3 linked regions of the Notamacropus eugenii genome follow. The protein of the gene in region 2 purifies or fractionates together with the protein of the main gene of each other region. This does not show direct contact. Links are inferred from orthologs where the notes say so. Each region holds a gene or a part of one and is shown on either strand. Other genes may lie near its edges.

Region 1 (3,747 bases), on a different chromosome or scaffold from region 2:
TAAGACTGGCCCTCAGCCCAACTGTCATGGGATGCCTCTGAGAACTAGAAGAACCCAGGTGACAGGCAGAATGGCCTCAGCCAGAGGAAGCCTTGGGTTCAAATTCTGCCTCTGATATGTCAGACCATCTAGGACCATGTGGGCAAGTCATGCCCCCTCCCACTCTCCATCAGCCCTCTCAAATTATAAATTGCAGAGGAGATGGTGGCACTGGCAGTTTTCTCCTCTGGGAGCTCCCTGTCCCAGTGAAATCCCAGGTCCATTCCCTGGCCCTGTCAGTGAATGAGACCGCCAGCACCTTTTGCTCTGCCCCATTCCTTCCTCCTCAACTTCCCTTGGACACCCCTTGGTGAAGAACAAAGAGGAACAGGCTCCAGCCCCAGCTCTGCCCTGGCCTTTCCAGGGGAGTCCAGAGTCCTCTGTGACCAGACCACCCAGCAGCCCCTAACAGGGCCCTCTAGCAGAACCAGGGGGTAGCTGGCTTCCCCACCAAGTGCAGATGAAAAGGAGTCAGGAGAAGCTGCTCCAGGCAGGCACCCTGCAAACAGCAGGAAGCAACAGCAAAGACCCAATGAAGCCCATGAACAGTAGACCCAGGGCATGGGGGAATGGCCCCATGTGCTCCAACTGTATGACATGAATAAAAGTGCATGACAATCATCTTGAATGGGCACAAGAAGGTGAAATCTGTTCAGGAGCCTGTACATAATGGAGATAGAACATTTTTCTCTGGGGAAAAAAAGTCACCTAAAATGGTTAAACCGTCTACACAACTGTTGGGGCTTAAATAAAAAGCAGCAGCATTTCTATGGCTCTTTCTGGCTGACAAAGCACTTCACATATATGATTCCAGCGATTCGGGGGAGGGAGGCAGGGGCTCTTATTCCAATTTTACAGATGAGGACACTGAGGCAGAGAGCAGTCTTGTCCAGGGTCGAACAGCCAGTGAGTGTCAGAGGCCTGATATGTATTCTGCTATGCCACCCCCAGTCTTTGCCCTGCTCCCCAATTCTTTGGGGTTTCTTGTGCCCACTCTGCCTCCTGCTCATCAAAGGCAGGGGCTGCTTCACCTGTCTTCCCTTCCCTCTCAGCCAAGCCCGGAGGCTGCAGGAAGCAGGCACCCAAGCGCTGCCTGGACAAGCACATCCCTTCTGCATGCTGGGGCCCCCACTCGCCTCGCTTCCAATGGCCTCAGTCTTTGCCTCTGGGGGCCCCATATCCTGAGGCTCCACTAAGTCTCTCATTCTCAAATTCCCACCAGACACATAAGCTCATAGCTGTATTGCTGGGACTTCAGACTGTCGAGTTCAACCCCTCCACTTAAAGATAAGGAAACTGAGGCCCAGGAGGGTGAAATGATTTGTCCAGGGTCACAAAAACGAGCCCCAACTTGATCCCAGATCTAACACTCTTCTCCCACACCAGGGGGCCAATGAGCCCACAACAGACTGCTTTACAAATACTGCTAGTCCTGGGGTCCTGCCCTCCTCCCTGCAGCCACTGCCCAAGTCGCCCTTCCCCACATTTAACCCTCTGATTTTCGTTCTGGGGCGGTGACCACAACGCCCCTCATTCCCAGGCCACCTCTTCCCCTATGCCAGGGGTCCTACATCAACCAATACCTCCCACCTATGTTGCGGGGGGCGCAGCGGGTGTGGGAAATCAGGACCCCCACTGAAAATTCAGGGCACCAGGGGGGCTGCTGGAGGAAGAAGGGTCACGGCTGGGATCTTCTGAGAATGTTCCCTCGACCCCCAAGAGTCAGAAACAACTAGAGGGGGCGCAGCTGCCGAGAGGCCGAGCGAGGGCTCCCCTTCCACAGCCCTCCCCGGGATCTCCCCTAACCCGTACGGGGTGGGGTGAGTGGAAGCCGTCTCAGGGCCGGGGTCTCTTACCCTCCTCCGCCCGGGGCCGCCCCCCAAGCGCCTCCTCCGGGCAAGGGGGTCACTCCGCCCCTCCCGCGGCGGGGGGCGGGGGTCTTCTTTGTCCCCCTTCTCTCCCCGGCGGGAGCAGGAGCCGAGGTCGCCCATGGGGGTTCTCTGTCCCCCTCCCCTCCCGTGCCGTGCCCTCCTCGGCAGGAGCCCGAGCCCGGGCGGGGGGGTCGCTCCCCGCTCCCCCTCCCCTCCCTGCTCCCCGCTCCCTCCCGCGGGGGGGGGCGGCGGCCATTGCTCTCCAAGATGGCGGCGGCGGCGGCGGCGGGTGAGGGGCCCGCGGGCCGGGGCAGCGGCGGGGGGCGGGCCGGGCCGGGCCGGGGGCGGGTCCTGGCGCGGCGGGGGGCGGGGGGCGGCGGCGGCTCACCTGCAGCTCGGCCCGCTCGGCCTCCCAGCGCGCCTTCTCCGCCTCGAAGCGCGCCCACTCGTGCTGGATGAAGTGCAGGATGCCGGGCAGGCTCAGCGGCTCGGGGCCCGCCCCGGGGCTGCCCCCGCCGGCCCCGCCCCCGCCGCCGCCGCCGCCCTTGGCGGGGCCGGGGGCCGGCGGGCGGCAGGCGGGGGCGGTCGCGGCGGCGGCGGCGGCGGCTGCGGCGGCGGCGGCGGCGGCGGCGGCGGCGGCGGCGGGGGCCGCTCGCTCCTCCATCATGGAGGCCGGCGGCTGGAGCGCGCGCGCGCCCTCGCGGGCCGCCGCCTGCCCCGCGCGCCTCCCTCGCGGACGGCGGTTGTCCGCGCGCACGCGCGCTCGAGCCCGAGGGGAGGGGCGGGGGGGGAGGGGAGGAGGAGCCTCGCGCAGCTGTCGCCGCGCGCCCGCACGCGCACGCGCGCTGTCACCTCCCCGAGGGAGGCGCGCGGGGCGGCGGCCGCGCGCCGGGGGGGGGGGGGCGGCGGCCGCGCGCCGGGAAGGCTGCCCTTGGTCCTAGCCCTTTGACACCCCTCCCCTCTCCGCCCTGCGGAGCGCCCCAACCAGACTCGGGCTCCTGGCTCCGCCCCTCGCTCCAGTTACTGTAGCAACCGACCGGCCTGGCCGCATCCTTCCCCTCCCAGCCTCCAATCCGAGACGCCTCCTGGCCCGCCGGTTACCACGGCAACTGGCCCAGCTCTCCACGCCCCCCTCCCATCCAGCCCCTCCTTAGGCCCCTTCCTCCCCATCCCTACGGGGTTGCCAAGCAACGGGCACCAGTCTGCACCCTGTCTCCCGCCCCCCCAGCCCCACTGGTTGCTATGGGAGCACCGCCCCTGCACCCCCGCTGTCCCGGAGACTCCAAGCCGCCAATCCCGGATCTCTTTCCCCCCGTGGGTTACCATAGCAATCCTGCCGGTCTAGGCGACCCTCCCCAGCAACCCCCAGCCGATCCCGGCCCCTCCCCCGCCGGCTGGTCGCCATGGCAACACTTACCTGCTTCCCCCGGGCCAGGATCGGTGGCGGCAGTAACCCTTGTCCCTCCCCCCAATTCCCATAGGCCAGTTGCCATGGCAGCTACCATAGAGCTGTTGCTATAGTCACCCTAATCTGTCCCTTCCCAGCATCTGCTTAGTCCACCCCGGGCTGTGTGGGTTGCTATGGCATCCGGGCCTAGTACCACACCTAGACCCCGGTGTGCGAATGCCCAGGGAAAGAGAGGGTGATGGCCGTGATCCCTCCCCCCTCCCCAGGCGGGGAGGAGAGTAGGAGGGGGGTCCTAAGGAGGAATCGTGGTTGCTGTGGGCCGTCCTTCTCAGTCTGTTCAGGGCGTCCAGACCCGTCCCGGGATGGGATGCTGCGCTTGGGGAGAGCTGCGAGCTTTGCAGCGGGGAGCAGGGAGGCAGGTTGCTGCGG
Region 2 (3,747 bases):
TTTTCCATTTCTCACAGAAAGACAGACAGGAACAGAGCAGAAGATGCTTGCATCGTTAGCACTTTGGCAGTACTGTTGGAACATGTATGCATGTACAGGCTGGGTAGGATAGGTGCCTAGTTTCCTGAAGAAAGCCAGTAGGACCTGTCAACAGAGCAACACTCCCAAGTAGGTTCTGATAAAGAGGATTGTATGCACATGTATATGTAAACGGGTGGATGAAAGAATAAGTTAAACAGAAGCTTCTCAGAGACAGGAGTGGTGGTAAGGAGAAATGGAAGCTAGATGCTTACATCGCAGAGGGTTGGGGTGGGGAAGAAGCCAGTAACAGTAGAAACTGGGAGTGTGTGGTCAGAGCCAGGTCTAACATCTCTCTAAACAGAAAGATAAAAGCTCAGAGCAGTAATGTCACATCCAAGGTCACAGTACACTTAGCAGAAGGACTGTGAGGTTCCCTGTCCAAAACTATAAGAGAGACTATCTCAACTTCTCCATCCCCCAACACTTGAGAAATGTGCCAAGCCTAGAGTTTCACATTGCTGTAACGGCAAAGTTTTAACTCATCTGTTTTTAAGAAAACTTAATCACCAGTCACAGGACCTCAGCCACCTGGGTTAATCAATAGCTAAGACTTGTTTGAGGGTGGGGAAGAGATATGTCACAGAAGAAAGGCCCTGAGAATGTCACATAATGTTCCTCTTGCTGAGAGTCTGGATTCCAACTGATCTTTTATTTGAAAGGGTCTACATTAACCAAGTCGAAGTTACTCTACACTTAACCAGTTTTCTCAGTCTGAATCCTCATAATCTCACAGCCACTCACTAAAACATCACTCTCTCCCTCCCTAACAATTTATCACTTCATCTCGAAGAAGCAAAGTCTCATAGACTGACACTACACCAAAGAAAATGATGACCTAAATGGCAGGAAAAAAACTGTGTCACCCAATTAACAACATGACTCTGCTCCCTTTTATTTCATCCCTTCCATCTGCCTCTTCATTCCCTCCAAATGAGGGGCATCTGTAAAGCTAACTATATTCTCCCATTATTGGTCACATTTCCTGGCTAACTCAAATCCCAGCAAATCGGCTGAGCAAGGGCTGACAAGAAGATTAGCCTCCAGATGGAAAACTCTGCTCCTTCTACACCTGTTGTGAAGCCACCAAGGGCACTGGGACAAAACACTGAAATGACAGGTTTAAGTCTTCCACCTTGAAATCACCAAATCTTTCCAAGCCCCTGTCCCCTAAACACCTCCCCACCACACACACCCTAAGGCTCTTCGTTGTCACCATCCACCCACACTTCTTCCCCATCATCCAGACTACACATTCATCTTTTTTTCTAGTGGGCTACAGCTCCAGACTAGCTTGCAGCAAATGTCCGCATACCAGCCTATGCAGTCTGGACAGAAAAGCTTAAACTCCACACCAGGTATAATCGACTTTTTTAATTTCACAATGTTTCATATCTGTAATATGCAGACTACTTCACTCTCAATAGAGAGATCGGGAAAACTGTCTCGGGCAGCGAGATGAGTGATAAAGAGGTAGGCTCTAATATAATGAAGTGAGTGAGACAGGCTTCAGAATCCTAAGTCCTGACCGAAGGTAAGTACGACAAAGGTAAATGAAAGAACCAAGGAGGGGGAGGAAAGCCAGCCATTAAAAACTGCGGCTGGGAGAAGAAGCCACAAAAATCGCATTGCATGTGATTTTTTGAGGGGGGAGGGCGGTTGAAAAGACAAGTGAGGGAGGCTAGGGAATGTCAGGCATAGGAAAAGTGTGTCAGAGGGGCGGGGGAAAGAGAAGGAAAGGGAAGGACGCTCATCTCCAAAACATTCGCAAAGGACGAAAAGTCCCGAGGAAGGGGATACGAGGGTCCAAGGTTGCAGAGGGATCACGAGGAAGATGGGGGTGCTGGGCATGTAGAAATCGCCGGAAGGGGCAGTATAATCAGGGAGGAGAGAAATCTAAATGGCGGAGGAAGGGGGAAAGAAGGAAGGAAGGAGGGAGGGAGAGGCGGTGGTGACGGAGGGCAAGTGCACAGGGGTGCAGGTGTGTGCGGAGGTATTGGGGGGAAAGCCAAGGCCCAGAGGGGAAGGAAGAGAGAGAAAAGGGGAGAGGTGGCTAAAGAGGTCTCCACGTGAGGGGGCGGGGCTTCCCTTAAAGTGGGGGTGCATCCCAGGGACCCGGTGCCAAATCACCTCCTCCAGTCCCTCCCGAGGACCAGGACGCGCGCGCCCCGGGCCAAACGATTCCGTACGTGGAGGGGGAGGGGAAGGGCGAGCGCTGGCGGCAGCCCAGGTGCGGGGGGCAGGGCTCACTCACCCGCAGGGCGGACAGGTCGATGTCGTCCAGGCTTCGGGCTGGGGCGGGGTCTCCCATGGCGGCGGCCGGGCCGGAGCCCGAGCCGAGAGGCTCAGACTGGGCGGGCCCAGGAGAGACGCGGGGTCACTCAGGCTCAGGCTCCGGCTCCCTTACTGCGCTGCCGTTGTCGTTCCTGCCCCATTGGGGGAGAAGAGGGGATCGGCGCTCCGCTTCGCCTCCCCTTCCCTTCGCTGAAAGACGGGTTGGGGGACGAGATGCAGACAAGTTGACCGAAAGGAGCCTTTCCGATTGACTGACTGACAGGAGCTCAAGTTCTGAACTCGCGACCGGGAGCCCCTGAACTCTACTGCGCATGCGTTTTTCGAGCGAGGGTGGGAGGAAGGAGCAAGAGGACAGGCTGTGCGCACGCGCGAGAACCAGCTGAAGGACGGGGAGAGTAGGAAGTGGGTGTGGGGAAAAGGTGCGGGATGTGATGGTCCAGAGTGCACGGAATAACTGTTGCGCGTGCGCCGGACGGAGCCTCTTCTCCCTTGCACGCCACCTTCTCCCCTCCCGCCGGCCAGGATTGCAACTAGCTCCCTAACTTTCTCACTGAGCCACCTACCTGGTGGGGCGGGGCGGGGCGGGGCGGGGCGGGGGAAGGAACGACACCCAGTTCCCCTTCACAACTCTGGAGGGGCTGCCATGGCAACCCCCCACGCTAAGGGGGAAAGCGGGCCTCGGGATAGGGTAGTCTAGGCTAGGCTTAGGACAGGCTGTCCACCCACCCTGGTCGTCACGGCAACCGGAGAACCACTGGGGGAGGGAGTGCCGCAGGGAAAGCCTAGGGAGAATGCAAGTGGGAGAGGGCAGGTACCGGAGCCCAGGAAATGCTCTCCAGCTAGGGGAGGCTTAGAACGTCATTCAGGGGTACTTCTAAGTAGGGACGTTTCTCCAAGTCCTTGACTAAACCAGGAGTTTTTCGTAGTAAATATTGTTGATAGGTCGAATTAACTGATTTCGCTGTCCAGCTGATGAAAGCAGTGTATTTGTTCGGGACAACTTGCCTTGGGGCCACTCACATCACACCCAAACCTAGGACAGCTCTGGTTCTCCCCTTGGTGTGGGAGCTCCCTGGGATCGGGAATATGTGTGCACCTTTAATTTATCTTTGCCCTCAAAGCTCAGCCTTCAAGACTCTCATGAGGGTGGAAAGGAGGGAGGTGAGCCAACATTCATTACTGTGGAAGATGAAAACTACTAAGAGGTAGAGTTTGATAAGGTGACACTTTGTGGGTTTCTGACTCCCCTTGTGCAATTTTATTATGCACTGAGACTGCGTATTGAAGGATGGGTAGGGCTGGAATAGGTGGAGTGAAGTGGAGTAGAGAACATTTAGACAGGAGAACTAAATAGAGGCAAGAATGAACAGGTTG
Region 3 (3,747 bases), on a different chromosome or scaffold from region 2:
TCTATCACACATCTTACTTTAGAAGCACAAAAGGCTATTAGAGGTAGATTTAATAAATTCCATGTTTTACATATTCGATCACATTCTAATTTACCAGGTCCCTTAACTGAAGGCAATGCAATTGCTGATGAAGCCTTGCAAGTTTTTCATGCGGAGTCATCTCCAATATTAGCTCATTCCAAATCTCATTTGTCTGCATGATCTCTTAGACATTTATTTGGCATAACAAAAAGGGAAGCAAGGCAGATTGTAAAGGCGTGCACCCAATGTGCTCCATTTCTTCCACCACCACCTATATACTCAAAAAATCCTATAGGTGACTGCCCAAATGATATTTGGCAGATGGATGTCACTCACTATTCATCATTTGGATGTTCTCAATATATACATGTATGTATAGATACTTTTTCAGGCTTTCTTATGGCAACTGCTCGCTCTGGTGAAGCAGTCAAAGATGTGACAACTCACTTACTAGCATGTTTTGCTAATCATGGAGTGCCAAAATGTTTAAAAACAGATAATGGCCCAGCCTATATATCAGCTGCATTTAAAAAATTCTGCTATGAATTTTCCATCTATCATGTTACTGGCATTCCTTATAACCCTACAGGCCAAGCCATTGTTGAAAGGGCAAATCGTTCCCTCAAGGTTTACTTGCAAAAAACAAAAAGGGGGAATTACACAAGGCCATCAGGCATCTCTCAATTTAGCCTTATACACATTAAATTATTTAAAGTTCAATGATAAGAATCTTTCAGCAGCCATGAAATATGCTATTGCTATAAAAACATCAAGAGGAACTTCACTTCTAGAAAAAACACAAATAGAGAATGAAGGAAAACCGGCAATGTGGCGTGATGCAGAAGGACAATGGCATGGTCCGGGAAAAATAATCATATGGGGAAAGAGTTATGCTTGTATTTCCACAGGAAAAGAGAAAGAACAGTGGGTCCCAGTACGCAGGCTTCGGCTGATAGAAGAAAGAGACAATGGGAAGAAAATCACAGGGCAAGAGACTGAGAGCAGCAAAGCGGAGAAAGAAGCTGGAAGAACAAATAAGGAGTCTTTGTCTTCAAAATGAGGAGGTTGATTCTGTTTCTCTTACTGACTCTTGGGGCTGGAGGACGTCCAACTCCGACCCAGGAGACAAGTGGGAATGCACATCACTGGGCGTTCATCCCGAATCCTCCGTGGGTGAGGGTCATAAGATGGGGTGAAAAGATACCAACACCAGTATTACATGGCAGTTTGTCACACATGTTTGGGGGTGCAGGCTTTGAATTTATAGGTAAATCAAATGGTTCACAGCCAAGAATGAACTTTACTAGATTGATCACAGGATTACCGCTCTGTCTTCAAAAGAAGGTTGATGGACGATGGAATGGCACTGCATGGGTTTTTAATGATATAGCGGCCGATATGACATGGTGTGCAAACATAACTCTGGGACATGAGACTTTGGGTTATCGAGGGGACTCTAGACTCTTTCACCTATGGACTTGGGTCATTGAGGGACAAGATATGGATCTAAAACGAGAAATAAGTTTGAGATATAGACCATATTGTACAAAAATGGATGGGGCACGAGACATGGGACAAAAATGAGAAGTGATTTTTAGATTTGGGCCACAACGTGGAAAGAGGGATGATCCCAATGTCTCCATTTATTGTAATTATTCAGGTTTTGTACCATTTGAAGATTGTCAGTCACATCAATGTCAACAGACTGTGTTATTCTTAGAGCATTATAATAAGAGCCTTATTTCCTGTCACAACCTATCGTATTTTGGGCCAGATCGCTATGTCTCAGGATATCCTAGTCCTAGATATGTTACTAACAAGGGTTCTTATACAGCAGGGATTGAACGGGTGATTGCCACTATTGGGGGACAGACAGTATAAGGTTTTGTAGGACCATTTATAATTGTAGCACCAAATGGTACTATAATTACAAACCGTATTAGTCTTACGGCGCGAGTGTGTTTAGGATCATCTCATGCCTTTATGTGGGATCGTACAAGTCAGTCTACACTCGTGCCACATATGAATATGACAGGGATATTCAATTTAACTTGTCCGAATTGTTCGGTACATGAATGCATAGGGCCACAATTTGATAAAGGAAGGCTTTACATCATTACTAGGCCAAAGTATGCACTCACAGTAGTGAAAACACAAGGATGGTATCGCACTCCGGCTGACAATATTATGTCAGTATTAGATCAAAAGACAGCAAGTTTGATGTGATTCAAAAGATGTATCTCATGTGTAGTGTTAGGTATAACCTTATTAGTTGAGCTAATTGTTAGTTCTACTGCTCTCGCAATGTCTGTCTCTAACACGCAGAATAGTGTCCAAGAAGCGAGTGCTCTTCATGGTCTCATGCGCAATGTCTCAGAAGGATTTCAATGTCAGGCTCAAATGGATAAGGAATTTTACAATGCTGTTCGTGCTTTACAGAAAGCAGTACTGTTCTTGGGACATGAAGTTGCATATCTAGAATTACAAGCAAAGTTACAATGTGATTATAGGTATAATACTTTTTGTCTTACTCCAAAACAATATGATGCAACTGAAATAGCATGGGAAAAGATTCGGGCTCAATTACAAGGTGTAGTCAATGATAATGTGACCTCAGAGCTCCAACAATTGATTCAATTGGCAGAATATATCAGTCAGGCTTCCCATGAAGACCTACTTCCACAAAAAACTGTTCAACATATCTTAGATTTTTTCCAACATGCTGATCCCTGGCACTCACTAAAAACTTGGCTAATTTCATTGGGATCAGGATTACTAACATTGCTTATATTAGTTGCTATTATACCAATATTATTAAAGTGGATATTGTTAACAATTCGTAATTCCCTCTTCTCCACTAAGCATACCGTGCTGGCTATGAAAGAACAACTGTACCAAAACAAAAAGGGGGAGTTGTAACGGGACGAATTAGAGCTGACCCCTGTCCATCGCAGGACTCCACACTGAGAGCCTGCCTAGATAACCTGGGGGCTTGTCAGTAGGGGTGGAACTAGATGGATTTCAGGAGGAAGGGTCTCGTCTTTTTTGGCAACGTGGCAGTTCTTTGTCCAGTTCCGGATGTCCAGTGGAGAAGATACCCATATAAGGAATAATGTTAGGTGATAGGTTCAATGTATAGGCTTAGGAATGTTCACGTAATTAAGACTATATATGCATGTGAACTAGCTGGAATAAACGGAGTTCTCACCACCTTGTCTCCCACCTCATTTCATTATTCACTAGATCAAGGCCTCTTGCTGGACAAGAGCCTTGGGTCGGGGTTTAGGGATTCCCGAAATGGTCTAGGGGACCCCAACAGGAAAGGAATAGATGGGAGTCTAAAAGTATATCTTTTCAAAGTCTATCACTGACTTAATTTTGCTTCAGAGTAAATCAGTTTCACTCTTAAGTCCTATGTTTCCACACCTATAAAATGGTGTCAGTAGCCTACCTCTGGTAGACATAGGTATCAGAAATAGTTTAGAATGTTATAGCTAGATGGCACCTTAGAAATCATTTTTTTCAAACCTCTCATTCTCCCATTTCACAGATGAGGATTCTGAGAAGTGACTTTGCCCAGGTCATACTACTGCTCTAACAGTTATAATTCCCATCAGCCAGTTGACACTTCCCTTCAACTCAAGTATTGAATCACGTGCATCTAAGTTTGTTTCTTATGTACAGCTGGACATTAATGAAACTTCATTTCTGTGTATGCTCTTGCCC

Evidence for each region.
Region 1: the proteins of MINK1 (region 2) and STRN4 purify together in Homo sapiens (affinity purification with mass spectrometry; 3 studies listed by BioGRID and IntAct, with this or other methods). This does not show direct contact. The link is inferred for Notamacropus eugenii from reciprocal best matches to the Homo sapiens genes MINK1 and STRN4.
Region 3: the proteins of MINK1 (region 2) and CNOT9 purify together in Homo sapiens (affinity purification with mass spectrometry; 3 studies listed by BioGRID and IntAct, with this or other methods). This does not show direct contact. The link is inferred for Notamacropus eugenii from reciprocal best matches to the Homo sapiens genes MINK1 and CNOT9.

What each region holds. Positions count from the first base shown.
Region 1 is NC_092876.1:28,840,592-28,844,338, forward strand, and holds the start of STRN4 (striatin-4), read right to left. Parts: upstream 2,578-3,747; coding exon 2,299-2,577; intron 2,200-2,298; exon of another isoform or gene 2,170-2,199; intron 2,046-2,169; exon of another isoform or gene 2,031-2,045; coding exon of another isoform or gene 1,896-2,030; intron 1-1,895. UniProt on the Homo sapiens protein: Calmodulin-binding scaffolding protein which is the center of the striatin-interacting phosphatase and kinase (STRIPAK) complexes.
Region 2 is NC_092873.1:79,245,318-79,249,064, reverse strand, and holds the start of MINK1 (misshapen-like kinase 1), read right to left. Parts: upstream 2,731-3,747; 5' UTR 2,390-2,730; coding exon 2,333-2,389; intron 1-2,332. UniProt on the Homo sapiens protein: Serine/threonine kinase which acts as a negative regulator of Ras-related Rap2-mediated signal transduction to control neuronal structure and AMPA receptor trafficking.
Region 3 is NC_092877.1:317,097,624-317,101,370, forward strand, and holds the start of CNOT9 (CCR4-NOT transcription complex subunit 9), read left to right. Parts: upstream 1-944; 5' UTR 945-1,077; coding exon 1,078-1,194; intron 1,195-3,747. UniProt on the Homo sapiens protein: Component of the CCR4-NOT complex which is one of the major cellular mRNA deadenylases and is linked to various cellular processes including bulk mRNA degradation, miRNA-mediated repression, translational repression during translational initiation and general transcription regulation.